Linked DNA regions of Caenorhabditis elegans. The protein of the gene in region 2 interacts with the protein of the main gene of each other region in a pairwise test. Each region holds a gene or a part of one and is shown on either strand. Other genes may lie near its edges.

Evidence for each region.
Region 1: the proteins of nhr-256 (region 2) and F49E2.2 interact in a two-hybrid assay, tested with the Caenorhabditis elegans proteins (one large-scale study listed by BioGRID).

The regions. Positions count from the first base shown.
Region 1 is NC_003284.9:9,561,777-9,575,415, reverse strand, and holds F49E2.2 (SH3 domain-containing protein), read right to left. Parts: upstream 8,121-13,639; coding exon 7,988-8,120; intron 6,634-7,987; exon of another isoform or gene 6,509-6,633; intron 6,381-6,508; exon of another isoform or gene 6,360-6,380; intron 6,038-6,359; coding exon 5,906-6,037; intron 5,866-5,905; coding exon 5,815-5,865; intron 5,179-5,814; coding exon 5,027-5,178; intron 4,975-5,026; coding exon 4,736-4,974; intron 4,653-4,735; coding exon 4,469-4,652; intron 4,427-4,468; coding exon 4,280-4,426; intron 3,337-4,279; coding exon 3,169-3,336; intron 3,098-3,168; coding exon 2,960-3,097; intron 2,910-2,959; coding exon 2,815-2,909; intron 2,771-2,814; coding exon 2,578-2,770; intron 2,070-2,577; coding exon 1,971-2,069; downstream 1-1,970. Other genes in the region: glb-17 (Globin domain-containing protein), read left to right, coding at 485-623, 840-1,112, 1,161-1,257, 1,308-1,372; moc-5 (GTP 3',8-cyclase), read left to right, coding at 9,437-9,601, 9,708-9,972, 10,030-10,133, 10,341-10,460, 10,518-10,856, 11,932-12,052, 12,095-12,163, 12,208-12,327 and 4 more.
Region 2 is NC_003283.11:1,736,432-1,748,481, reverse strand, and holds nhr-256 (NR LBD domain-containing protein), read right to left. Parts: upstream 4,712-12,050; 5' UTR 4,669-4,711; coding exon 4,594-4,668; intron 3,933-4,593; coding exon 3,782-3,932; intron 3,735-3,781; coding exon 3,660-3,734; intron 2,538-3,659; coding exon 2,233-2,537; intron 1,508-2,232; coding exon 1,311-1,507; intron 1,262-1,310; coding exon 1,136-1,261; intron 1,091-1,135; coding exon 975-1,090; intron 853-974; coding exon 602-852; 3' UTR 501-601; downstream 1-500. Other genes in the region: putative 5-hydroxyisourate hydrolase ZK697.8, read left to right, coding at 1-50; srab-25 (Serpentine Receptor, class AB (Class A-like)), read left to right, coding at 7,325-7,551, 8,149-8,226, 8,275-8,428, 8,473-8,649, 8,694-8,889, 8,932-8,996, 9,439-9,555; str-160 (Serpentine receptor class r-10), read right to left, coding at 11,715-11,791.

The DNA.
Region 1 (13,639 bases), on a different chromosome or scaffold from region 2:
TTGAAAATGAAACCTTTGAAAACTTTTTTTCAAAGTTTTAAAAAATAACAGTTTTTATTTGTTAGCTCACTTCGTTACATAAGTTTACTCCAGTTGAACAAAAGGTGAACAGGCTTACATGTGTTTTCTTCTGTTTCAAAAAATCTGTGAACACAAATTAACATTTATTTTAAAAAAATTTCATTAGCAGCTATTATAATAAGTTTGAAAATTCGTTTTGGCAAGTAAAATTAATATCTTTTTTTTAGCTCAAAACAACTGCCAATTACATGTGAAAAAAATTGAACTAATATGTATTTTTGTTTACTCCTCATAGACCAGACCTAATTTAATGCCAGAAATCATCTAAAAATGATACAAGCAAAATGAATTCGATTATGCGAGCATCACGCGTTACGTCTTCGGCTTGCTTCCACATGTATTAGATTTTGATCGATGTCCATTAACCCATGAATAATTGCTTTTTGAATTCAAAGTTTTGCAGCGCGAAAACCGACAACGTTGGAAAGAAGATTCTGCAGACGCTCATTGAAAAACGTCCAAAGTTTGCTGAGTATTTCGGTATTCAGAGTGAAAGTCTTGATATTCGTGCTTTGAATCAAAGCAAGGAATTTCATTTACAGGTGAGGATGTTTAAATTTAGATTTTGAATAGAAGTTACCTGTCAACTCAAAAAAAATTCCGTGTTACTCCAAACATTTAAAGAGTTTGAAATTATCAGATTGAAGACATTATCATAGTTTTGTACCAAAAAATTAATAATCAACAAATACAAGAAAATAAACATTTAAAGTTGCTTTGATAATACAAGTATCTCTTAAAAAATAGGAGATTTCCAGGCGCACCGTATCCAGAACTTCCTTGACACGGCAGTCGGATCTCTCGGTTTTTGTCCAATTTCCAGTGTTTTTGACATGGCACATCGTATTGGACAAATTCATTTCTACAGAGGAGTCAATTTTGGAGCAGATAACTGGCTTGTCTTCAAAAAAGTAACAGTTGATCAAGTAACAACCGGAACAACGGATAGCTCCAAAGAAAAGGAGGATACTAATAGCAATGGAACTGCAAATGGAAAAGTGGATACTGATGCAAGTCTTATCCCGGTAGGAGTTAAGGATTCCAACATTACTGCACAATTCTAAACTTATATTCTTAAGATTGCTGATATTAATAATGTATACAGCGGAGAAAATTGCTTGGCTCGTCTGGGATGGAACAAGTTAATGACTGTCATTGTCCGTGAAATGAAGAGAGGTATAGATTTCGACACTAACTCTTATTATACAAGTAACAGCATTTTTCAGGATTCTTGGAAGAAGCAATGCGTAACTGCAAAGAAGAGGATAATAATGGCCTTCTAAGTGCTTGAATTTCTTTTCCTTTTTTATTCCAACCGTAATTCTAAACACGTGTGCTGCGTTTTTTAATATATAATTTCTACACCTCTAGTATTGATGATAGATCAACAAAAATCTAAAAAGTTTCCAAACAATATTAAATCATTACGAATTTATTCAAGATTATTTTTGATTCCAATAAGTTTTGCTGCTTTTTCTCTAAAACTGTAATCATGCCACCTTGATTTCGTTCTGATTATGGCAGAGAATCTTTTTTTGCTGAAGTTGCTTTTTTATCAGGTTGCCCAATTCTTCCCAAACACTCTCTAATTAAGAATTACACCAACATTCATGACTTTAATCATTAAATTCATTAAATGTTACCATACAATAATATTTTTTGCTTTACCATGTGTTTTAATTACTTATTTACTGTGAATAAAATATTGATAAAAACTGGACCACTGGGATAAGAATGAATTATTTAAAAACTGGGGAAATAAATCAAGGAATTACAGGAAATCACAAAATAGTTATTTGCAAAAATAGGCGTTCTGGTGAAAATATGGGAAGATAAGTCACAGACAAAACGAGAAATGACAAGAATGTTGTTTTTTTGTAATTGAAAGTTTATGGGTTGACATATGGCTCAGGAACCCATCCTGTTCGGTTAGAAATCGAATCTCTGACAAACACCCATCCACGAGATCCGCATTTTAAGAGGATTACCTGAAATTAATCAGATGTGATAAAATTGTGGAGGTGACTAATGCATGTTTCAAAATATCTAACAAAGAACAACATCAACATAGTTTTCAACTACACTATGTTTTGCAAGTATTCTCTAATTCAATACTAAATATTACAAAGAGCCTGTTAGACAAATGTTCAGTAAGGACTTGTTTGAATGTAAAAACGAATTCCATAAATTAAATATCTCGAACCAATGCTAAGATTTTTTTGATAAAAAATTAATAACCTTAAATTGATTTTGATTAAAAAAAACATTCATGAAACTCTACTCATGTAGGCTTTCAAATCCTATAATAGTGTCAAATTAAAATATTGATACAGGCAAATGTTACCACTTTTTTAGGGCACCGGTCTGTTGTTAGAAATTTTATCGGTTTGCCGTTTTGCTTGAAAGTTTTATATTCTTTTTGTTTTCTTCTTGACGTCACAAAAAGTAACAAGTTTTAGTTTAATTTTTCAAAATTATTTAGAAAGTTTTTGGTACCTTGTCTCCACGATTCACAGTCATCTGTTCTCCGGAAGAAGCATTGAAATCATCGTTAACAATCAGAATACTTCCATATTGTGATGGGTTGAAGAATGATGGAACCGAAATATCTGTACTATGATTGCGACTGTGTTGTTGTGCTTGGTGAGATGGAGCAGCCATTGGAAGGTAACTAGAATCCACGTGGAATCTGAATATGTCGTTCTTTTTTTCAAATTTCTTGTGAGTACTCACTTTTTAGCATTCATTTGCTCCTCTGTCACTGGATTATCGACGACTCTCCCAACGCGAATATAATCGCTGGTAACAACTTGATAAGGCGTGCTATTCTGAAGGATTATCACACTTGAAAATTGAAAATTACACGAATAGTTTTTACCTGAACAGGCGTGTAGCGGACATTTGGCTGAGGATTTGATTGATTTGCAAATCCGAAAACATTAACAGCACCTGGAATTGTGTTTCCAGCACGGCGGACACCACCTGGAGCGCTATTAACCGGCTGTTGAGGCACTTGCTGGAAACGCATAGTTTTATCAAAATGGACAAATAATAGCGAGTGAAAAGATGATTACACCAGATGCTTACCTCGGCGACAACATTATGACGAGGGGCGTATGTGCTCTCCTCCTGGCGTGTGACTGGAACTGGTTGAGCGCGAATCGGAGCATATTGGGGGTTTTCGACAACTGGTTTTGGCGGCAAGACTGGTGGAGCAATGTGGGAGTAGCTGTTGTTGGGTGGAAGTTGTTGAATCTGAAATTAATACGGCAATTAAATTTTTCTTCGAAATAAACCAGTTGCATTTACTGTTTGTAAAAACCAATGCATGGTATTTTAATTCGGGGCACGTTGTGAATACATAATAAGAATATGAAATGTTTTTACTGCAGTTCAAATCTTTGATAAAAACTTTATGTGAAAGATTAAATAAAATATAGTAATGTTATGTGAGGTAATTTTGAGTCAAATAGAGCAACTATTCATACGTCGCTATTCTACCATTAAACAAACACGTGAAGTTGTTACGAAAAAATTTTGATAATTATGTAACACGTGAAAATAGTTGTTCTTCAGTCAGCCTTTTAAAATTCGCGTAACATTTCTAAAACGTGATAGAAAGATTGCCAAGATTTCAAAACCAAAGTGAAAACTCAATAAAATCTAATTGACAAAACGATGCTAATATTTCTTTTTTCGATTAAAGACTTTTGCTTCGATGTTTACAAACATTTTTGAATTCTATTGTTAAATTTTGAAAACACTGTGTTGCTGATTGAAAGTTCATGCAGGCTTAACTATGAATAAATAAACTGATTTTAATCTAAATTAAAATTCAAAATGTTGCGTTTTTTATTGATTTTTATCCTAGATAATTTAATAGCACATGCGGACATTATACAAACATTAAAAAATAGTGTTATTGCAGATGCGAATTTTTCAAAATAGGAGAAATTTTGAATACCTCCTTGCTTCAACAGTTCAAATTTTAAGTATCCTACAACTAGTCCGATGGCTTACACATAGTAATAAACTTTGAAAATGTGAGTGTTCTTTTTTTTTAATACAAAATGAAACGTATGTATTATAAGTTTTATGTACGTGATTTAATGTAACTATGACCTATTGTTTATACACAATATTGACTTATAACAACTTTGAAACATTTCTTCACATGACATATTAGTCCTCAACTAACCTCAATTGATTGACGGCGATAATTACTAACCAGTGTGACTCCGGAAACGTCATTTGTGAGACGACGAGAAGATGGAAGATCCTCTAGCGTTGTTGCAACCGATGAAGTCGAATTGCTGCGGCTGTCCTGTACAGCTTCATCTACTTTCTGAAATTTAATATGATATACACGCATTAAATTGTGTTTTACCTTTTCAACATTCTCTTTAATTTCCTCAGCTGCAACAACGGCGGCATGCTCATGTAAATCTTGATGCCAATCTTTGTGGTCTTCTGGTATGGTCTCAATTTCAACCGGTGCAGCGATCACACTCCCAACTGCTGGCTGAACAATCACTTCTTGGGCTTGGAATAATTTCCCAATTTCGACGTATCTGATAATATTTTATGAGAGTTTTTTTTTCCAGAAATTGAATTAATGTTGCTATTTTCACAATTCTAATTACATTTAACTCACCCGTGAATCCAGGATTGCAGCTTGTCATTGAAAAATTTGTATCTCATTTCCTGTTGTTTTGCCCAGCTGGCTGCTTCTTTTTTATGGAACGCGGTAATATCTTGTTCAGTTTCTCCATTTTTGCGTTTCAGAAGTTTTTTTTCTTTTGCTTTGTACTCAGCAAATTCTGTCTTCAGCTTGTCTTTTTCCTTGTTGCTATAGTCATGAACTTTGTGTGCCAGCGCGTCAAATTCCGTAATCTATGTTTAATTATATATTGAATGCGAAACTTTTCTTTAGATTGATGCTTACGACTTTTTGATGAGCATTTACTCCCTGTACAAACTCTTTAAAAACTTTTGAAAGCTCTCGAGCTTCATTTTTCGATTTGTGTCCAGCAGTATCAGCTGATTTGATAAGTTTGTGAGTGGCATCACAATAGTTTGACAATGCTTCTTGGAACACTGAAAATTGCAAATTTTTATATACTCTTGTCATCTTGAAAACTTGATGTGATTATTGAAAAGCTATTTTTCTTGACCTACATTGATATGGATTGCAAACGAAAATGTTTCAATTTCCACTCTCACAAAAAATATAGTTTTTGTCATTGAATTTTTAGGCACAAACTATGAAAATATAAAACTCGAGTTCTATGAATGCGTCTTTCAACTACACATGTTTTCATGTGTTGCGATACAAACTGAATTGAGTTATAAACAAATTATTAACACAGAAATGGGATGAGCTGAGTATATTTTATTCACATTATTGAGCCATTGTTACAAACCGTCCCGACCATGATAACTATAATACTTTCAACGTATATTTGCCAACTTTTTGCAGTAACGTTTTCTAATTTTTTTTACTTCTCATCTCTTACAATATTAAGAAACCATGAGATCATGAGAGTGCCTACCGTTTTGGCGCGGGAATATCTCGTAGCGAAGGAACCTATATCTTTCTTCGCCGATTGTTTTCCCTGTTGCCGCTATTTTCGAGCCACAATTTAGGCATTCTCAGGTTTTTTAAAATACAACAAAAGCATAGAAAGAATACTGTGTAAGAGAACTTATTGTTTTCTGATCAAAAATACTTACTGTAATATGTTTTCAGTAGATGCATTCCGGCTTGCCCAAGATTTTTTGCCGCTGAAATTTTGTTGTGTATGTTAACCTAAACAAGAGGTACCTGGCAAAAACTGTGCGGCTAGCTGATCGTGGACCATCTGTGGAATGTTGGCAGCCATTGAAGGCGAAACCTCCGGTGGTACCGCTTGTTCGTCGACCGACATCGGGATGATTGGTGGATACCGATGAGAGACTGAAAACCAACTTTTTGCAAACTGTTTGACATTCAATTTTCATAAGTAATGCACTACTTTTGCGGGAAAAGTTTTATAATATTTTATGGGCAGGGTTGGTCTGTTGTAGATAACGCTTTTGCCATCCGAGAAACTTTCTTTATTGATATTGTTAATTGCTAAAGGCATGCGACACTAAATATTATAAAAAATATACAACTAAACAAGTTATAGAACTTAAAAAAACCCTAAGACGGTGAACCTAAATCAATAAAACACAAATATCTATATTTTTTGAAGAAATAGTGTTATAAAGTCATTTTGTTTGCCAACATTCCTGAATTCCACTTTCCATCATAACGATTATGGTTATCACCGCAACATGTGTCATAAGAAAGGAATGAAACAAAAAATATTTCATTTTTGGAGTAAAATAATGGCCATTATGCCGGCAAAACGCCTAAAACAGTGTACACTCTATAAGAAAATGAGGCGAGCGTACAACCAAGTTCATGAAACGACGCAGTGCGGCAGGCACCTATTGAAAAAGCGTTGTGCAAGTGATAAGAGCCCCGACTTTGGTATGCTGCGTGCGTTTGATTATGTACATTACCCGGGCATCGGCGCCAAGCGGCGAGAAACCTGGCAGATTGGGAGAGTGTGAAACAAAACCAAAAATCGCCGCCTACTTTAAGTTTTTGTGCCATTCTGAAGCGACTATTCTGATTGTGTGAAGAAATACTGTTGACATTTTGACACTATCAATTTTAAGAGCGTGACAACAGAGAATGGTGACATCTGACAAAAAAAAATGACAAGCCGTATGCAACTTTTTGAACAACATTTGAATAATTTGAAATTAAATAATATAAAAATATAAAAAACGCATCGTTTAAGCTTGTAAAGAAACCTGATAGTGAGTGTTATTAGTAAAACATTGAACTCTAGTTTGTTTTAATTGTTTCAATTCTGAACACTGACCCGTGAAGTAAAATAAAATTTGTTTAGAATTAAATAAAGCTATGAATAAAGTACAGGACAACTTTAATTATTGTGCTACAAAAGTTGATCGGCATCTTTACAAGTAACTCGTTTTGTAATTTATTCAAAATTTAGAGAAGTAGTCAAAACTCAAAACTTATTTTAAACCATAAAAAATTATTGATTTAATATACCGCAATTTAAATTACATTGTCATACCAATGTTGTTAATAAGTGAGTAAATAATGATTTTTTGAACATGTATGTTCAAAATTTGCGTTATACATGTGAAACATCAAAGACAGTAGAAATATGTTGAGCATCTTGCTCAATCAAAATAAGTGTATCATTGTTAGGAAAATGTAACTAAACAAAAAATACCACTAGCACAGTTAAGTTAAGTTGCTTATGAAATTAATTCACAAGTAAAAGCTACAATACATACACATTATCACTTAAAAAATCGTGTTTATTGATTTGCCTAGTTTTGTCTTACAGGGACACCTACATTCGGGCATCCCCACATGATTTCCAACATTTCCAACTCCAATTCCAACAATATATTAAATTTCTAGGTAGTGTTCAGAAGACGAGAACTTATATAATGTTACGAACACCTCAAAATGAAAGTTATATTTTCACATGCTTCTCAGAGATATTTGAAAATATAAATTGAGCTGCAAATTATAAAGCTTTAAAATGTAACTTTTTGAAACTAATACTTACATTTTATTCTATGAAAATATTAATGTTGCATTTAAGTTCAGTATTTCCCTCGATACAAACAAAAGTTGACCAACCTTTTAACATGTGGCGAAGTTTTTTGGCACAAAGAGACGCGCGACACAACTGACAAGCATGACTAATGTCTAAGTTTTCTATTCCGTTCGTCTTCTCCCTCCAAAAAAACACGTCGTAACTATCCGGCTAACAAAACGTATGTATCCCGAGGTCGTTTGCCAATCACTCGGACGTATAACCATACTTACCAATCTTGATACTCTTGAAACGATGATTGAGAACATATTTGTGACCGTTAATTTCAAGAGTTTGAGCTGGTAAAGGGGATGGCTGTGGTGGAATGCGAGATTGGTAGTAAAACTCGTCAGTTGCAGATTCCATTGGAGTTTATCAATATTTCGATGAAAACCAGGACAAACAGAACAAAAGAATGGAATGGGATGGGAATGAGGGAGGCAGATTGGAACATTCCGTATTTATTTTTTGCAATTTTATTATTGAATGGATTTTGATAACATGATTTTTTTGTGTTTGTATGAGTCACTTAAATTGATTGAATATTTTTACCCCAAAAATCCTCACCTCTCCATCTCCATAGTTTCATCCCAATCAGCGAAGATCGTCGAGCGCCCAGATTGAAGATGCCAGCTGTAACAATTTTTTTTACGTTGTATCAAGTGCCCTTTTCACATCGCTCTCTCTGTCTCAAATAGTCTATGCTTTATTATACAATGTACAAATTACAGGGGTCACCAAAAGAGTTAAAAAGACACGTCAGAAAGAAAGACAGAGAGAAATAGAGATGTTTGGAAGATGGGACACTTGGAGGACGTGACAACTTTAAAAAAAGGGGTTTATGAGTACACTATATTTTTGGGACACGGTATTTAACTTACTCATAATGGCAACACTCCTTCTGATTTAGAAACTATGAGGAAATGATAGTCAAGAGCACACAAATGTTCTGAAATATATTCGCTTGTTTATCTTTTGACAAACAATGTTGTTGTCTCTTCCAGAAATATTGTGTTTCTAGCGTCAGAATCATATTGATTAAAAGATAATGATAAAACCTCGATTTATTTTCACGAACCATTTGAAAATCAGACATTGATAACTTGCATCAGAAATTAATAACTTGCATCAGAAATTAATTAAGGTGGAGTAGCGACAGTAAGAAAATTGTTAAAAATTATCCATAAAATGCCAAAATGATCAAATAGAATAGTAACACTTTTCAACAGCTGGAATAAAAATTTTTTATTGACATTCAAAAGTTACTGAGTTTTTCAAATCGTTAGACCGAATCATGATATTTCATTTTCATTAAAAATACATTTCCTGATATATAAAGTCCAAAATTCCTGAGCCTCTATCCCTCTTTTTCTTTTTGTTCTCTGCAACACGTTCGTTTTCTCCTTCGTCGACACAAAAATCACTTTTCGGAATTGAATTGCAAATCACCAATGCAGAGTAGAGTGCCCATCAACCTGTATGATGACAAAACATTCCCGTTGTTCCGTTTTGCATTTTCTATGGTTTCAACGCCCACGATTTATGTTTGAGCGTGAGAGCCACAATGTGCTGCTTGGAGTTTACTTTACACCTTTTCTCTAGGTTTTGTTTTTTTTCTCAATTCCTAATCAATAAATTAATCGCACCGCATTTTTAAAAGTGTTTTGATATAAATATTACAGATGAGTTGTCGAGCAGGAAAAAAGTTATTTCAATGGTCACGGGTCAAGTCGTCAACAGAAGAAATTGTAAAACAACTAACTGTTCCATTACGAGAACATGCCGAACCAATACTCACGTTGACGCCCGAACAAAAAAGAGAAGCAGTCAGACTAAAAATTCAAGAGGTATTCTTAAACATATTGTGCAAATGAGCTTCAGAAATCAGAGAAAGAGATAAGAAAATATAAGAAAATTCTGAAAGTTCACTTGTCGTTCATCGTTCAATTTCAGATTGAACACACAAAAGGCCAGCCACCATTTTTTGACATGTTTATGAGAGAGCACACTTATTTGAGGATATCGCTAACGGAAAAATGCAACTTCCGTTGTCTTTACTGCATGCCAGCCGAAGGTGTTCCTCTCAAGCCCAAAGACAAAATGCTCTCAAACAGTGAAGTATTAAGACTTGTAAAGTTATTCGCTGCACATGGCGTTGACAAAGTTAGACTGACAGGAGGTGAACCGACTATTAGAAAGGATATTGTGCATATTGTTGGTGAGTTTATTGTAGAAATATGACTTCAGTGGAGAAACATGGCATATTCAATTACAGAAGGGATCTCATCTACTCCAGGAATCAAAGAAGTTGGTATAACTACAAATGGTCTTGTTTTGCAGAGATTTTTACCACAGTTGAGAGATGCCGGATTGACAAAAGTAAACATGTTTTTCAATCAGAATTGGGAAATTATTGAGACATTTGTGCTTTTTGTTTTCATGTTTGCCTAAAAAGTTTATCGATTCATTTCCACAATATTACTTGTGGAAGCAAATCAAATAATCATATCCAATCCTCTTTTTGCTTTTCAAAACACTTTTGAAATTTCAACAAAAACTTAATTTCTAAAAGTTAAATAAATTTAGATAAACATCAGTATTGATTCCCTTGATCGTGAAAAATTTGCCAAAATGACAAGACGTGACGGATTTGATAAAGTTTGGAAAGCAATTGAATTAGCGAGAGGTTACTACCCAAAAGTTAAAGTGAGTCGAGTCTCAATTTCTGAGCATTGTCAATTAAATATCCATAATTTTTTTCAGTTAAACGTAGTTGTTCTTAAACACCAAAACGAGAACGAAGTTGTTGATTTTGTTAATCTTACTAAAGATCGTAACCTAGACGTCCGTTTCATAGAGTTCATGCCTTTTGGGGGTAATGAGTTCAAAAATGACAATTTCATTGGCTATCGAGAGATGCTTAATTTAATTGTTGATAAATACGGAGATGGTGTAATACGGTTATCCGACTCACCGAATGACACAACCAAAGCGTATAAGATTGATGGATTCCAAGGACAATTTGGGTTTATCACCTCGATGTCAGATCACTTTTGTAACACTTGCAATAGGCTGAGAATAACAGCTGATGGAAATTTGAAAGTAAGTAGTTGAAAAATGTAAAGTTTGAAAATTACCGGAAGAACATTAATGTATTATTAAGTTTTATAAACATGTTGATTTCTAGTGACTTCCTCTTTTCATTTCATAAATCTTATTTTGATTTTATCTTTCTGGGAGGAAATATCTACGGAAACCTCTCACATGACATCATGCATCCTTATAATAGCTCATTCGTCGTCCTTCGTGGCACTTCCAAGGACGCAATTGATTTCGCTCTTTTTTTGTATTTATTCCTTTCTCATCATATTGCATTCTTATTCTTTGCCAGTAATAAACTCATCTTTCGAAAATCTAAGTGAATGTTGGGTGTCCGAGAGAGAAAGAGAGACGAAATGTAATGTATAACATAAGATTTTGTGCGAAGCGATCCTTTCCGTTCGTCATCGCCTTGCCTCCTCCACCTGGCCTCATTTGCGCCCAGCCGCCGCTCTGCACAAGTTGTGCTCTCTGCTCTTCTCCTTTGTATTTCGTCTCGTTCCCTAACATTCAGGTTCCTTTTTTCTTTTCAACTCGTTGTTAACACCTTTAATACTTGTTTTCAAGTTATATAAAGCTTGCATTCAATCTTTAGTCTATAGGAAGTTACGAGGTGTCGTTGAGGTATTTATTTTCAATTAATAATGTCTATTAATAAAAAGTTGTATTTTTCATTTTGGAGAATTTCAGATAAAAGTGCAAAACTTTGCGAGTATTTCTCACTTGTACCATCATAATCATTTTTATGAAAGACCTCCTGAAATAATGCGTTAATAAAATTGATTAAAAAAATATATTAATTAAAACAGTAGGCTTTAAAACATGCATAAATGTTCTAAATTTATCACAAAACCTTAATGCTTCGAAAAATTGGAACATCAAAAAACATTGAATAAGAATATGGAAAAACCTTGAATATTTCAGAGTGCATAAACTAAAATTTTCACTGACATTTCCCGCTATTATGCATAATCTCAGCCCGCAAATAGAAAATGTTCATTCAACAACATACCCGATTGTGTCCTTCCTTCACATTTGTGTTTGAATTTGAATTTTGGTTAATTTCAATTAATTTAAGGTATGCCTCCATGGAAATTCCGAAGTAAGTCTACGTGATAGAATTCGTTGTGGCGACTCTGACGAACAGCTTTCCGAGGTCATTCAAAAAGCCGTTAACAACAAAAAAGCTAGACATGCCGGTAAGTAGCCCATCAAACTGTTTGAGTAGGAAAAAAATACAGTTTTCAGGAATGGACGCTCTGAAGAACCTGCCAAATCGTCCAATGATTCTTATCGGGGGCTAACTCCTGGTATTAATTTGGTACCTGTTTTTCGAATCTCATTTTTATTACAGTAACATCCGCATCTTCTATACTTGTTCACTTACCATCTAGTTCGCTTTATCATAGTCACTTGCATTCTTCTCGTCACTTTTTTATTTCTCAAATTCGATGTTTCTCGACAACCTACTCAGGTAAGTTTTTGCAAAATTTTGAAGCCGGTGAAATAGTTTCGGTTCAGTGTCTTCAATTACTCATTTGCTCACTCATGTGGACAACAATGGCAACGCAAAACAAGTTGACGTCTCTCAAAAAGATACCAGCACAAGAACAGCTGTGGCAAGAGGAACAATCATTGTAAGTTTTAGTACGAATTATGAGATTATGCTCATATGGAACAAATTCTTTTATTTTTAACTCATGATTTACTTAAAATGGGAAAATCGTAACATCAGTATTTTATTCAATGAAAACATAAATCTTTGTAGTATCGACACACATTTTGTTTTTGTTTTTTTCTATTATTTTCTCTATTTAAATTTTAAAAGTTATTCGTGACTTTTAGCATGCTGAATTTTAATTGCGTTTTACAGTTTTTTATTTTGTTATTCCTCTTAGTTTGAAAACGAATACTACATTTAAAAAGAATTTCCCCCACATCCACAACTCTTTTTTAAGAAAAAAAAAATGTGTATTTTTTCCAGCTAATTCAAAAAATATTGTATATGTAGTGTTAAAACCCATTCAATTTTATTATCACAAAATTATTTTCTTGTTCACACACTTTAGTCAAATTTGAAACATATACTAATTTGTGGCTCCTGACCGAACAAAACATTTATTTCATGTGCATTAATTTTTTAAAAAAATTGTCATTTTCAAGCTGACCGCTGAGATATCCCGCCAAATATCTGAAAATACCATCAAGAAAGGAGATGTCTTAACCGTTGCCAAGGTAAAACTTTTAGAGTGGATTTTTAATGTTGTTATGATCGTTTTTATTTTTAGATTGCAAGCATTTTGGGTGCAAAACAAGTTGCAAATCTGATTCCATTATGTCATCCAATACGTCTTGATTTTGTGGACACCGTATTTAATCATGATATTGAAAACTCAAAACTTCATTGCATTTCAACTGCCAGGTGCAGTGGAAATACTGGAGTTGAGATGGAAGCATTGACTGCTTGTACTGTAAGTTATTAGTCACTATTATTATAATATTTTATTGAATAAATTGCAGATTGCCTTACTAACTGTTTATGATATGTGTAAAGCAATAAGTCAAAAAATGATGCTCACCAATATTTACCTTGTGCACAAGTCGGGAGGCAAAACAACGTATACAATTGACAATGAAAATCAGATTTGAACCACTAGTCACTTTCACTTTTCTCTTATATACATATTGCATTGATTTAATAAAGTTGATTTATTTTAATTTCTGTGAAGTTACATTCAACTTGGAGTATCATTTCCGAGAAATTTGAGCTCAAATAGATATACGTA
Region 2 (12,050 bases):
TTCCATTGACTCTGAGTCCATGGGGATACTCTACCTACCGTGGATCATAACTATTTTCCCAATTAACCATAAATTTGCAAGTTATGTTATTAAATAAATTGAATCCAGCCGATACCTTGAAATTCTAAATTTACCAATGAGATTAATAATCCCATCAAGCTTTTAAAAATTTATATACCTACATAGATTAATAACTGCATTTGGAACTATACTTGAAAAATCCACAAGTTCACAATATGATTTCAATTTGAAATTAATATTCTAAAATTGGTTTCGAATTTAATTTTTGACCAATCTATAAAATAGTCATTGATTTTCTCCACGGAGACCTTTAGGTCTTTTGGGAACACAATTCTAACAAAAAAAGTTGTTCGACTGAAAATTATACTTTTTCAAAGCTAGTAATCAAATCTATATTAAAAAATTCTGGATAATCTGCTTCTGAAAATATTTGGACTAGATGAAGACTGATTTCATTTCTCTTTTTTCTTGTAGTTCAACATTATCCTGGAGCCGAAATCCACGATTCGTAAAAATTAAAATTAAACTTTTCTAAACTGAATAATTTCATATATGTGCATCATTACAAAAAACTCGTAATTTAATACTGAAACTTGAGCATATCTTTCAAAATCGGATCATCCACGTTTGCGAAAACCGTAATCTCAAACATCGTAGTCACGAGCTCATGAACCTCTGACATCACAATTCCTACGGCCAGAACGATTTCAGATACTCTGAGAATCGGATCATCATATCCTTCATCTTCGCATATGAGGAGAAGTGTTCGGAAAATGTCATCGCGTTGGCGAGCCGAGATTTGACGACCCGTGTTTTGGAGTTTGTAGTAATCTGAAAAATTAATATGTTTTCTGGTCAGACGTATGCAGCCGACACTAATCTATGTCGAGAGCCTGAAATCTGTCGGCTGCTGGTTTGTCTAAACATTAGCAGGATTCCCCGTTTCAACTCACTATAATGCCAAATCGCTAATGCTTTAAACAATGAAAACTCTGCGAGGGATAATTTCAGCTTTCTCAATGGCTCGTTAACATTCTTCCATTGCCGCCGAATCATTAGCACGACATTTCTGAAACAGAAATACATTTAAAAAATTTCAATATTTAAAACTTACTTATAAATAGTAATATCTTCTAAATTACAATCTTGGGGCACCACTTCAAGTTCCGTAGATGGCATAGGATCCATTTTCAGATATTTGGCTTCTCGCGTCACAAAAACTGGCTCATCCGGGTAGATTCTGAAAGTTTATGTTTTTTTTTTGTTTTTTTTTATTCCGATCAACTTACACCTGACTATAATAAGCTGGATCCGCAAGTGCGTCAACTGCAGCCGTAGTTTGGAATAGCACAGTTTTCTCGGATTTATTCAGCAGATGGAACTCGGGGAACCGATTCACGTAGTCCAAAATCATGGTATAATCATTGCGATTTTTGTATCGATAGGTATCGTAGCTGAGCGGTTTCATGTCGGAGAGGTCAAATGGCTGGAAAAAATTGGTTTCAGAAATATTTTCGACCAGTTTGTTCTTAATTTTTCAAAAAAAAAAGCTAGAATACAGTCCCAATATGCCTAATACAACTGTTAAAAAATTAATAAAAAAGTTTTCTAAATTTTTCGTTTTTTTTTCAAAAAATAAAAAGAGCCGAATTATTTTTGAATTCCCGCGCAAATGAGTATTTTTGACATTTTTGTGAAAACTGATTAGTTTCTTCATTTCTTCTTTGATATATATTTTGAAACTTTATTTTTTACATTTTCAGACATTTTTCAGTAAAGAAAAGTGGCTACTCATTATGAAAATTGCCAAAACGTTCAAATTGGTCTAAAATTGTATAATTCGACATTAATTTTAACTTTTCTTGAAAAATTTCTGAAACTAAAAAAATCAAAACAAGTCAAGAAGAACCAATCAGTTTTGGCGGAAAACGCAAAAAATGTCAAGAATGACGTCACTCATTTGCGCGGGAATTCAAAAATAATTTAGCCCTATTTTTTTCAAATTTAAAAAATAATAAAAAATTTAGAAATTTTTTAAAAAATTTTTTACAGTTAAATTTGGTATAATGAGACTTTATTCTGTCATTCAAGGCAAAAAACCTTCAGACGCTACTCCACCTTTAAAAAATTAGTACTAAACAATGAAGATCACACAAAAATGCCGAAAAAATATTGCCAGAATATGATCTCGCACTTTCAAAAAAAACTTACGCAAACACAAGGATTATCAAACATCGCAGAAAGCGATACATTCGCATATGTAAGTCTTCTTCTCATATTCAGATTCACGAATTGCTCTATATAAAGTGTAGCAAGCTTGTAGAGTCGATCTTCCTCCTCCATAACATCTATAGGTGGAGATACAGCTAGTGACGGCTCATTGGGAATTTTGATAAAATGCTGAAGCTCTTCGATTTCCATTAGATCATCATCAATTTTCATCGATTTTGCGGGAGGATAATATGATTCGCTTGACTGTGAAGTTGATTGAATTGGGAATTGGAGAGGATCGTAGTCTTAAAAATTTTTAGAATTATTTTTAAAAGTAATTTCGATTTAAAATATCACAATAAAACTTTTAAAGCATTTTAATTTTTTTTAAAAATTTACTGTCAAAAAGTGAAAATTTCTCACTAGGGAACCGTCAGAAGGTGACCATCGGATTTGCAAATAAGACCTATGCCATTCGATAGTGCATGTCTTAAAACGGTTACTCGTGAATTTTTAGCGGCAAAACTCCAGAATCAAGCTCACGGTGGGCTCTCAAAGATCCTAAAATAGCACTTTAACGAAGCATTAAAGGGTCAATTTTCCCAGTTCACTTTGGTAGCTCATATCTCCGCGAATAATTTTTTTACATAAAAGTCATCAACCAAAAAGTTGTTGATATTGTTGTGAAGAACAAGTTTCCAGTTGAAAGTTTTTAACAAAAAAGTTTTGTTTGAGATAAAGCGCGTGAAGTGCGGCAACTGTTGATGTTATTTTTATGCTGTGATGTCTATTCTAATGCTTTTAACTCAAACAAAACATTTTTGGTAAAAAACTTTCAACTAGGAACTTGTTCTTTACAACAACATCAACAACTTTTTAGTTGATGACTTTTCTGTGAAAAATTTATCCGCCGAGATATGAGCTACCAAAGTGAAATTGGAAAATTGCTTCTTTAGATCGTTGAAGTGCTTCGTTACAGTGCTATTTTAGGATCTTTGAGAGCCCACCGTGAGCTTGGTTCTGGAGTTTTGCCACTAAAAATTCACGAATAACCGTTATAAGACATGGGCTATCGAATGTCATAGGTGTCACATGCAAGTCCGATGGGCACCTTCTGACGGTTCCCTAGTCAGTTCTTGCCACTCATAATTTTTGAAGTCGACCGTAAAAAATAGTTTTTCCTTCATTTTTTATATTTTAATTTTACTTTAATATTTTTGTATTAAAACATGGTAGTGGTCGGTAAATGCTTTGGATTTCCTCAAAAGCTCATAATTTTTAAAGTTTTGGCAGTTTGCAAAACTTATGGCGGAAATTATGAAAAATTTAAAATTTATTGGAGTGTTTTACTATGATATTCGGTTTTTTGGATCATTATATGTGTATTCAGACAAAACTAACGCTACTCAACCTTTAAATGAACTTACAATCAGAGGTAGAAGCTATAACATCCACTGGGCTGGACCGCTTATTTTCTCCGTTCATTTTGTGCCCTTGTACTACTGAAATTCAAAAACTTGATTTTACAAACATATTAAAATAGACTTACATTCTTCCTGCATCCCAGCTTTCAAGCACTTTGCCAGCCTACATTGTCTACAATTTTGTCGGAACACGTGGTTGATTTCGCAGGTTTTCTCACCGGGACATGAGTAAATTTGGCCAGTTTTTACAGTTCGACGGAAGAAAGCTGCACAGGCCTGAAAAAGTTCACTTGAATAGGCAACTACTACGTAGATTTATGTAGATTTTGATTTTTCGTGGCTATTATAAAAAATTCAAAAAATGGGGACCAAACCTAACTGTTCAACATGATGGCTAGGCGCAGGAGGGAAACAATTTCAAATTTTTACATAACGAAACATTGAGTAAACATATGTTATCTATTGCAGCAGGGTGTGCGGCAACTGCGGCCTGGCAAATTTTGGTAAATCGGCAAATTGCCGGTTGCGATTGGAAAAAAAATGCAAGTTCACAATTTGCCGAACATTTTCGGTAATTGCCATATTTCCGGCAAATTCGGAAAATCGGCAATTTGCCTGTATGCCGATTTGCCGCAAATTTCAATTCCGGCAATTTGCCGATTTGCCTATTTGCCGGATATTTTAAATTCCAACAACTGGCCAATTTGCCGGAAATTTCGATTCTGGCAAGTTACCGGTGTGCCGATTTGCCGGAAATAATCGTTTGCCGTTCACTCTACTGAAGTTTTTTGAATTTTTAAATGTTTTTTTTGCGGGTGAAATATTTCCGAAAAAACAAGAGAAAATAAAAATGTTCTACTGATAAGACAGGAAAAACAAAAAAAGCTTGGTAAATAAATTAATCAACTTAATTTTAGCAACAATAAAAACAACGTACCTTACAGGAATGTGCTCCAAAATGAAAATTTGTCGCGTTTGGCGAGTCGCAAACCTTGCAATTCCCACGAGACATCTTGAATAATCAAAGAAAATTATAGAAACAAAAAAAAACACTTGAAAAAAAGTGAGAAGGAGAAATGAAACAAATCAATGAGAGACGCAGACACAAAACGTGGGTGAGAGCAATAAAACGCTGAAGAGAAGGAGACATTGAGAGTCAATTCGCGGCATGTTATCTTTCTTTTCTGTCTCCAGGTTGTCCATTTGTTTCAAGAACGAGTGGAGAGTACGACGGGAAGGGGCAAAGGTTATAGTACACTACAAGACACAAACCGCTATATAGTTTTTATACTTTTATTTGTAGTCGTCTGTCAAAAAGCGGTAGGGAACTCAATAATAGCTATGTAAAATGATATAATGTACGAATTTTGAATTCTATGGTTGGCAATATCATACTCACGTGGGCTTAGGCTTAGGCTTATGCTTATGCTTAGGCTTAGGCTTAGACTTAGGCTCAAGCTTAGGATTAGGCTTAGACTTAGGCTTGGCGTCAGTATCGAGCGTCAGCTATTTAGGTTTGGGTTTACAGCGTTTTATTTTCATTTTTCAATTAAGTTTAGGCTTAGTCTTAAATCTAAATGGGCAGGGGGAGGAAGAGAGAAAATAAAAATTCCAGAAATTTCGAATATTCAGAAAAAAAGAAAAAAGTACACAAAATCGTGAAAAATATCAAAATTCTAAGAAAAAAGACAAAAATGGCGAAATCCCAAAAAAGCAGAAAAAATGCTTTTTAAAGAATTGGACAAGGCCCCATTGTCTTTTGAGTACACAATGATTTTCAATTTCTGAAATTTTTCGAATTAATCTCAAAATTTTGGTTTTTCATAATGCTCTTTTTGCGTAAATCTGTCTGGGAAAATTATCTCGTCATTTCTTAAATTTCGTCAAAATTATTTTTTTCAGTTTTGTTTGTTATAACTTATTCTGATATTTTTCTTGTATTTGTATTTTGAAAATCCCTTCAAATTCAATCGAAAATTGGTATTCCACCAAAAAAGACTCCTCCCACAACTTTAGTATAAACTTATCGGATTTTTTTTCATTTTTTGAATGGTTATCCTAATATATATAATAAAGATTAACTTGCAAATATCACGAGTGATAGGTCACAAGTGATTAATCTTACTTCCTACATTCTTCGATATTGACTACGAAAACATCAATATAAACGCCTCAAAATTTTTTTGGTTCAATATTTTTCTGTTCAACACGCCTTGGAGAAAATAAAAAATAATTTTTAGAAATAATTTTATGAACAACCAAGCCGCCTGTTTAGCCCTTTTTTTTATTAAAGTCAGAAAAATAAGGAAAACACTGAGACCAGGCTTAGCTCACATCTATAATAAAAAATCATTTAAGCATGAATAGGGGTGGTTGAACCAAGAAAGCAAGTAGTTCAGTTCCATTTTTCACTTCCTTGTATAAAACTTTAGTGATATCACTAGAACCTAATTCGTGCATTAAAAATTTCAATTTTTGTGCTCTCAGATTTAACAAAAATCCTGTCGAGCAATTTTAGGGAACAAGCATGTTCTCTAATTAACTAAAATTTTTCGATTTCTGCTAAATTTTAATAAATGTGCCCCTTAAAAAATACTACATTCTTGAACTTTCTTGATATTGGTCTGATTTACTTGATGGTTCATAGGTTTAATTTTTTTTAAACTATAGCATGTAAAAACCCAAAATTTTATCGAACCCAATTAATGAAATTACCACAGAAGATTTATGGAGTACTGTTTAAGGGCTTGACCTTTTTGCATTCAATAAGAAGTTGTAGTGTCGAGGCACCATATTTTTGGAACAAAATTGCAAAATTCTGCATTCTGTACTGGACATCAGTTTCATTAGCATTTACTTAAAGATTCTCGAGTTTTAAAATTCCATACGATCTCTGATAAAAATAAAAGACTTTCAAAGTAAATCCAAACGTATTTTCTAGCAATGTCCTGTTCGCTAGTTCTCAGTAAAAAGATTTTTGGTTTTCACTCCTGGACTACCTGGATTACTGGACTATTGAACTTTCATATTTTCCAGGAAAATTTTTGCTATAGTTGACAAATATGCGAATACAATTAGTTGCTTGGAACACATAATAAGCAGAAAACAATCGCCCACTTACATTCCCGTAATTTTATTTTTACGTGTGGACTAATATTAACTTTCATTGTTTTCTTCCTTCTAGACAGCCATTCACTTCTTTGTTAAAAAAATTCTTTGCTAATTTGAATTTGTTACATTAATTTGCCTGCGTTCTTTATAGACCGAGAAAATTTATCTGAATGTAGTATATAAACTTTGAAAAATCAAAGACCCAAATCTAGAGCTCAAACGTTTAGAACAAGCCGAATTATAATTACTTTGTGCAAGATCTTTTTATGAGAAATTTTTGACATTTTTGAAACATTTACAGAATATACATAACTTGCCCCAAACCTTTGCTTATGAATCTGTTTTTTTGTTTAAATGTTCATTAACCATTAGAAAATACAGTATACATATTAATCTGCAACCTAATTTACCCAGAATTCATCGAAAATAAATAATTGAAGGTGTGCATTTCTGGAAACACAATTGCTAGAAAATCCAAAAATCACCTATATTCCTAGTTACTGCTTGCTCTGAAAGAGGTGTATAACTTTTAAATACTAATTTTCAGACATCTGCCTATGCAACCTGAAAATTCATCTGTGTGTGATGTACGCGAAGTTTTGAAATATCAAGACTCCAAATTTTTGCATTATTCCGAGCTGATCATGCTGATTTTATCATTCATTGCTTTACCAATTTTGATTTTGGCAATTGTGAAATGCATCAAATCTTCACTGTTTCATACGAACATTAGATTGATAACAGGGTTTCACTGTTTCTTCATTCTTATTCATTGTTTCGGCAGGTGAGCTGATTGTTTGGACCTGCCATTTTTTGGGGGACACTATGTATAATAAAATCTACAGTAACCCTGGAGTACTCCTGAAGTATCCTGGCAGAGCAGTACTCGGCACATTTATCACATTTGCAAAATTCTCTTTTTAAAATTGAATGACCACTCGCAGCCTCGATCAATGTCGGCTGCGCATTTATCAAACTTCCTATACCAAATGAGCAGCCGACAAGTATCGAGGTCTACGATAAACCACACAAGCTTTGCCTAAGTATTAAGGGTGGGCGCAATTTCGGCAATTTTTTTTCAGCCAAATTGGCAAATTGCCGGTTTGCCGATGTGCCGGAAAATTTCAATTCAAACAGTTTGCCGGTTTTATAATTTTTATTTTCTGCAAGTTGCCGATTTGCCGTTTGCCGGATATCAGATTTGCCGGAAATGTTTAGAGGGATACTTACAAGACGGAAACACTTAAAACTGTGCCTTTTTGAAAATTTTTTCTCGTTTTCTTTAGTTATTTTCATAGAATTTGCTTACTTTTCAAAATAGATGTAAATACATTCATTGAATGTATACAATTTCGCCGAATGAAATTTCCATTAATTCCAGAATCCTTCAACATTCCAGCGATATGTACCTCTGGATGGCACCGTTAGCAGTTTGTGAAAAACGGCAATATTTTGAAATGTAAAAAGAAATTTAATTTTACCATTTTTTAACCACTTGTAATTTCAGATGTGTGATATCCCGAAGCATGTACCTTTACGGAATTTACAGTTCCAGTTTTACTACTGTATTTATGGCCATTGAAAGAACTCTGGCGACATATTTATCGCATAAATATGAACATAAAAATTCATGTGTCGGTATTTTATTGGTTTGTTTCCAGGTAATTTCTAGAATTTTTGAAAAATTTTTAGCAAAAAATTACAGATCATAATTAGTCTATTAATAACTGTTCCCCTATTTCTTGATTCAAAGTTCACAACTCGGCCGGATTTTTGTGAATTTCATGATCCTTCCGACTGGCTTTTGGTTGTAGAGATCTTTACGATTTTCTCCAATTTTGTAGCCTTTTTGCAATGTTGGAAATTATACAGAGTGAACACGGTACGTAAAAAACCTATTTTTTTGGTTAAATTTTTTTTTTCAAGAAACTCAGAGTCCATTCAAAAGTGCGCCGGTTAAGCCAAAAATATCAAATCGAGGAGAACAAAATGTTGATAAAAGTTATATTGCGTTTCACTTGCTTAGATTTTGTGTTCATGATGGTATATTGTTTTGGAAACTTGGCCACAAATTTTATTGACTTTAGTTTATCCCAAGGGAAATTGCACGGATTCATAGAAAGTGAGTTTCAATTGTTCCTATGAAAGTTTCAATTTTTTTTAGTGGTGCATTGTCTGCCGGTTTATGCAATTGTCGTCACATATTCCATGGCAAGAGTTATAAAACACGTGAGTCTATTATACTTTTTAATTATTTTCGAGCAATTTTTCATGGCCACTTCACTGCCAGACTTTGGAATGTCTCTTTTTTTGTTTTTTGTGTATTTTCTGAGATTTATTTTTTCTCTATCTGCCCAATTCTTTAAAAAGTATTTTTTCTGATTTTTTGGGATTGTGCCATTTTTGTCTTTTTTCTTAGAACTTTGATTTTTTTAAAACGATTTTGTGTAATTTTTTTTTCTGAATTTTCGAAATTTCTGAAAATTATATTTTCTCTCCTCTTTCCCCTGCCCAGATTAAGCCTAAGCCGAAGCCTACGCCTGTGCCTAAGCCTAAGCCTAAGTCTAACCTCAAGAATACGCCTCGGCCTAGCTCTTATTTATCATTTTAATACACTTTTTAAAAAGTGGACTAACAAAACTGTCGCTTTTCTCAAACTCTATCATTTCAGATTCAAAAACGGAAGACGTCAAATTTGGTTGCAGAAATCCGAATAAGGGAGGACGCGTATTTCAGTTATATAAATAATCAATGGACCCGTGACACTAAGAACAAAAGTCACAAATAGAACTAAATATTTCAAATAGTTTCCACTTTATCCTGAGCTACAAAAGTTGCCAAAATGAACACGGAACACATAATGCAAGTGTCTTGAAATCCAAGTGTGACAATTTGAAAATTATCAGGAGATTTGAGATGATCGGAGTACGCAGTAGAGACTGATGCTAGGGAGATGAACTGTAAATATAGCTACGATTGAAAAATAATCAATAACATTTTCTTACAATTGAAATACATAAGAATAACAGGATATGAACGATACGAGCGCGCTCTTTCAAACTCAATTTCTTAGCGTTTTTAGCATAATAGATGGAATAAAACTTATAAAACAGAAGATATGTTATCGAAACTAATAAAATCCATTTCAAAATGTCCAATCTCTGAAATTTTACTTTAAACATTAATTACTGAAGCTGTAAACTTGCAATGATAAAACAATTATTGATACTGATTTGAATGTAGGTATGTCTGCAATTTTATTATTGAATAAGTCTTAAAAATTGGTTGTACATGAAACTGCAAAAAACTACCGATTTATTGCTAGATGAGCATTTCAAAGCAATATCCCCACAAGGGATATTCATTTTCAATTAAGTGGTAAAATTCTGTTTAAATCAGGAGTGAGCGACAAACGATTTTTTTCCGGAAAATCGGCAAAATGACGGAATTTAAAATTTTCGGCAAATCGTCAAACCGACATCCTGCTCATTTGACAAAGTTTCCAAAAAACGACCATTGGCGAAAATTTTCGGCAAATTCTGGTTATGTACATTTCTTTGGAAACTTCAGAATTTCAATTTTAATCGGCAAAATTGCACGCAACCTATGAATGTTCCTACGTCTGTTTTTAAAAATAAGCCAATTATAAAAAAATTTCTAAAGAAAACAGGAATTAAATTTCAAAAAGGCACAGTTTAAATTTTTTTTCCGTTTTATAAAAAATCCCTCTAAACACTCCTAGCAAATTTATATTACGGCAAACGGCAAATCGGAATTTGCCGAATATAAAAATTTTCGGCAAATCGGCAAACAAACACATTGCCATAAAGGAAAACTTCCGGCAAATCGGGAAACCGGCAATTTGAAAAAAAACCAGTAGACTTACAAGTTGTGTCGGGTAAATATCTTAATGCATAAAGAGCTATGAATAGTACCGCATCAATTATGTATATCTTCAGTCTAAAAATTTATTGAATTCATTTCTCTAACTATCAGTATACCTTGTAACTTTACAGCTCATAACATAAACTTCACTTCCAATTTTCCAGTTCAAAAATAATGCGTAAGTCATAGTAATAGAGTAAGGAATTGTTGGTGTGACGAAGTTTGGAAAGAGCAGTATGGGAAAGGATATCACATATTTGTACATTTCAATTCGATTACCATCAAAAAAGTGGAAAGTTGATATTAATAATATGTCATGAAACAAAAACGCTAATTGGAAAAAAGTAACAATAGGGTAGATTAAACAAAAATGGTAGAAGCAGTAATATATCGAATTCTAAAAAAACACAATTTTAAGAGTTAACATCAATAATAGATCTATTCGAAGTTTACACCTACTTCTTTTTTACAAGCTTGGTAACAGTACAAAATTACTGAAAATACAGGAAACAGGAAGCCTAGCAATATCCATTCCGATCCAAGTGGTAAAATATCCAGCAAACTTGCATCGATTTCAGAAAAATTAAAAGAAATCGAAATCGGTTGTGGATACTCGGTAAAGTTGCAAAACATATGTACATCAGGCAGAACTGATGTAGATGTCAAGGTTTTATATCTAAGGAAAATCACCTGCTCGATTCAATTTTTTTTAAGAGTTCAATTTTTTTGGATAATTTCGATTATTTTTGGTGGATGACGTTTTTGGTTCTCATCATCGGCTGTGCTATTTGATGTAAACATAAAAAATTTTCTTTGCTTGAAGTATAACATTGCGTGGGATAATATTTCGTAGATCAAAGAGGCACATATATTGGTAGAATATATTAGGAAAACTGTGAAACGTGTGTATTAAAAGAAAGCTCACACTTGTGTTAAGAATGAACTTTTATTATCTTTTTTTAGTACTCTTCAAGAAACCAATTAAACTTAAAATAATATTTTTTATTTATTTACGTGTCCTGAGATGCCATTTAAAGACATATGAGCTTGAAAGAACAATGTTCACGAAATAGCCAAATTCGAGTCAAATGCTGATACAGAAGCCACTTCATTTTTCAGAAAAAGTCGTCGGAAGAAATCTGAAAATGATTGTGGGATTTCTATGTGAATATTAAAAAAAAAAACTCAATTAAAAAAAAATGTAATACCAATAGTTATGGGCCGTATTTACCAGACGAATTTGTCCTAGGCTTTACAATAATACACTAAAGTTAACCGTTGAGTCTCTCTTAAATTTTTTAAACCGGTATCTAAAAGTAATCATTTTTAAACTCTTCTTATATTTTTGTGAACACATATTGTTTTCGATGAGCTCACATTTGAGCAGACAAATGAAAA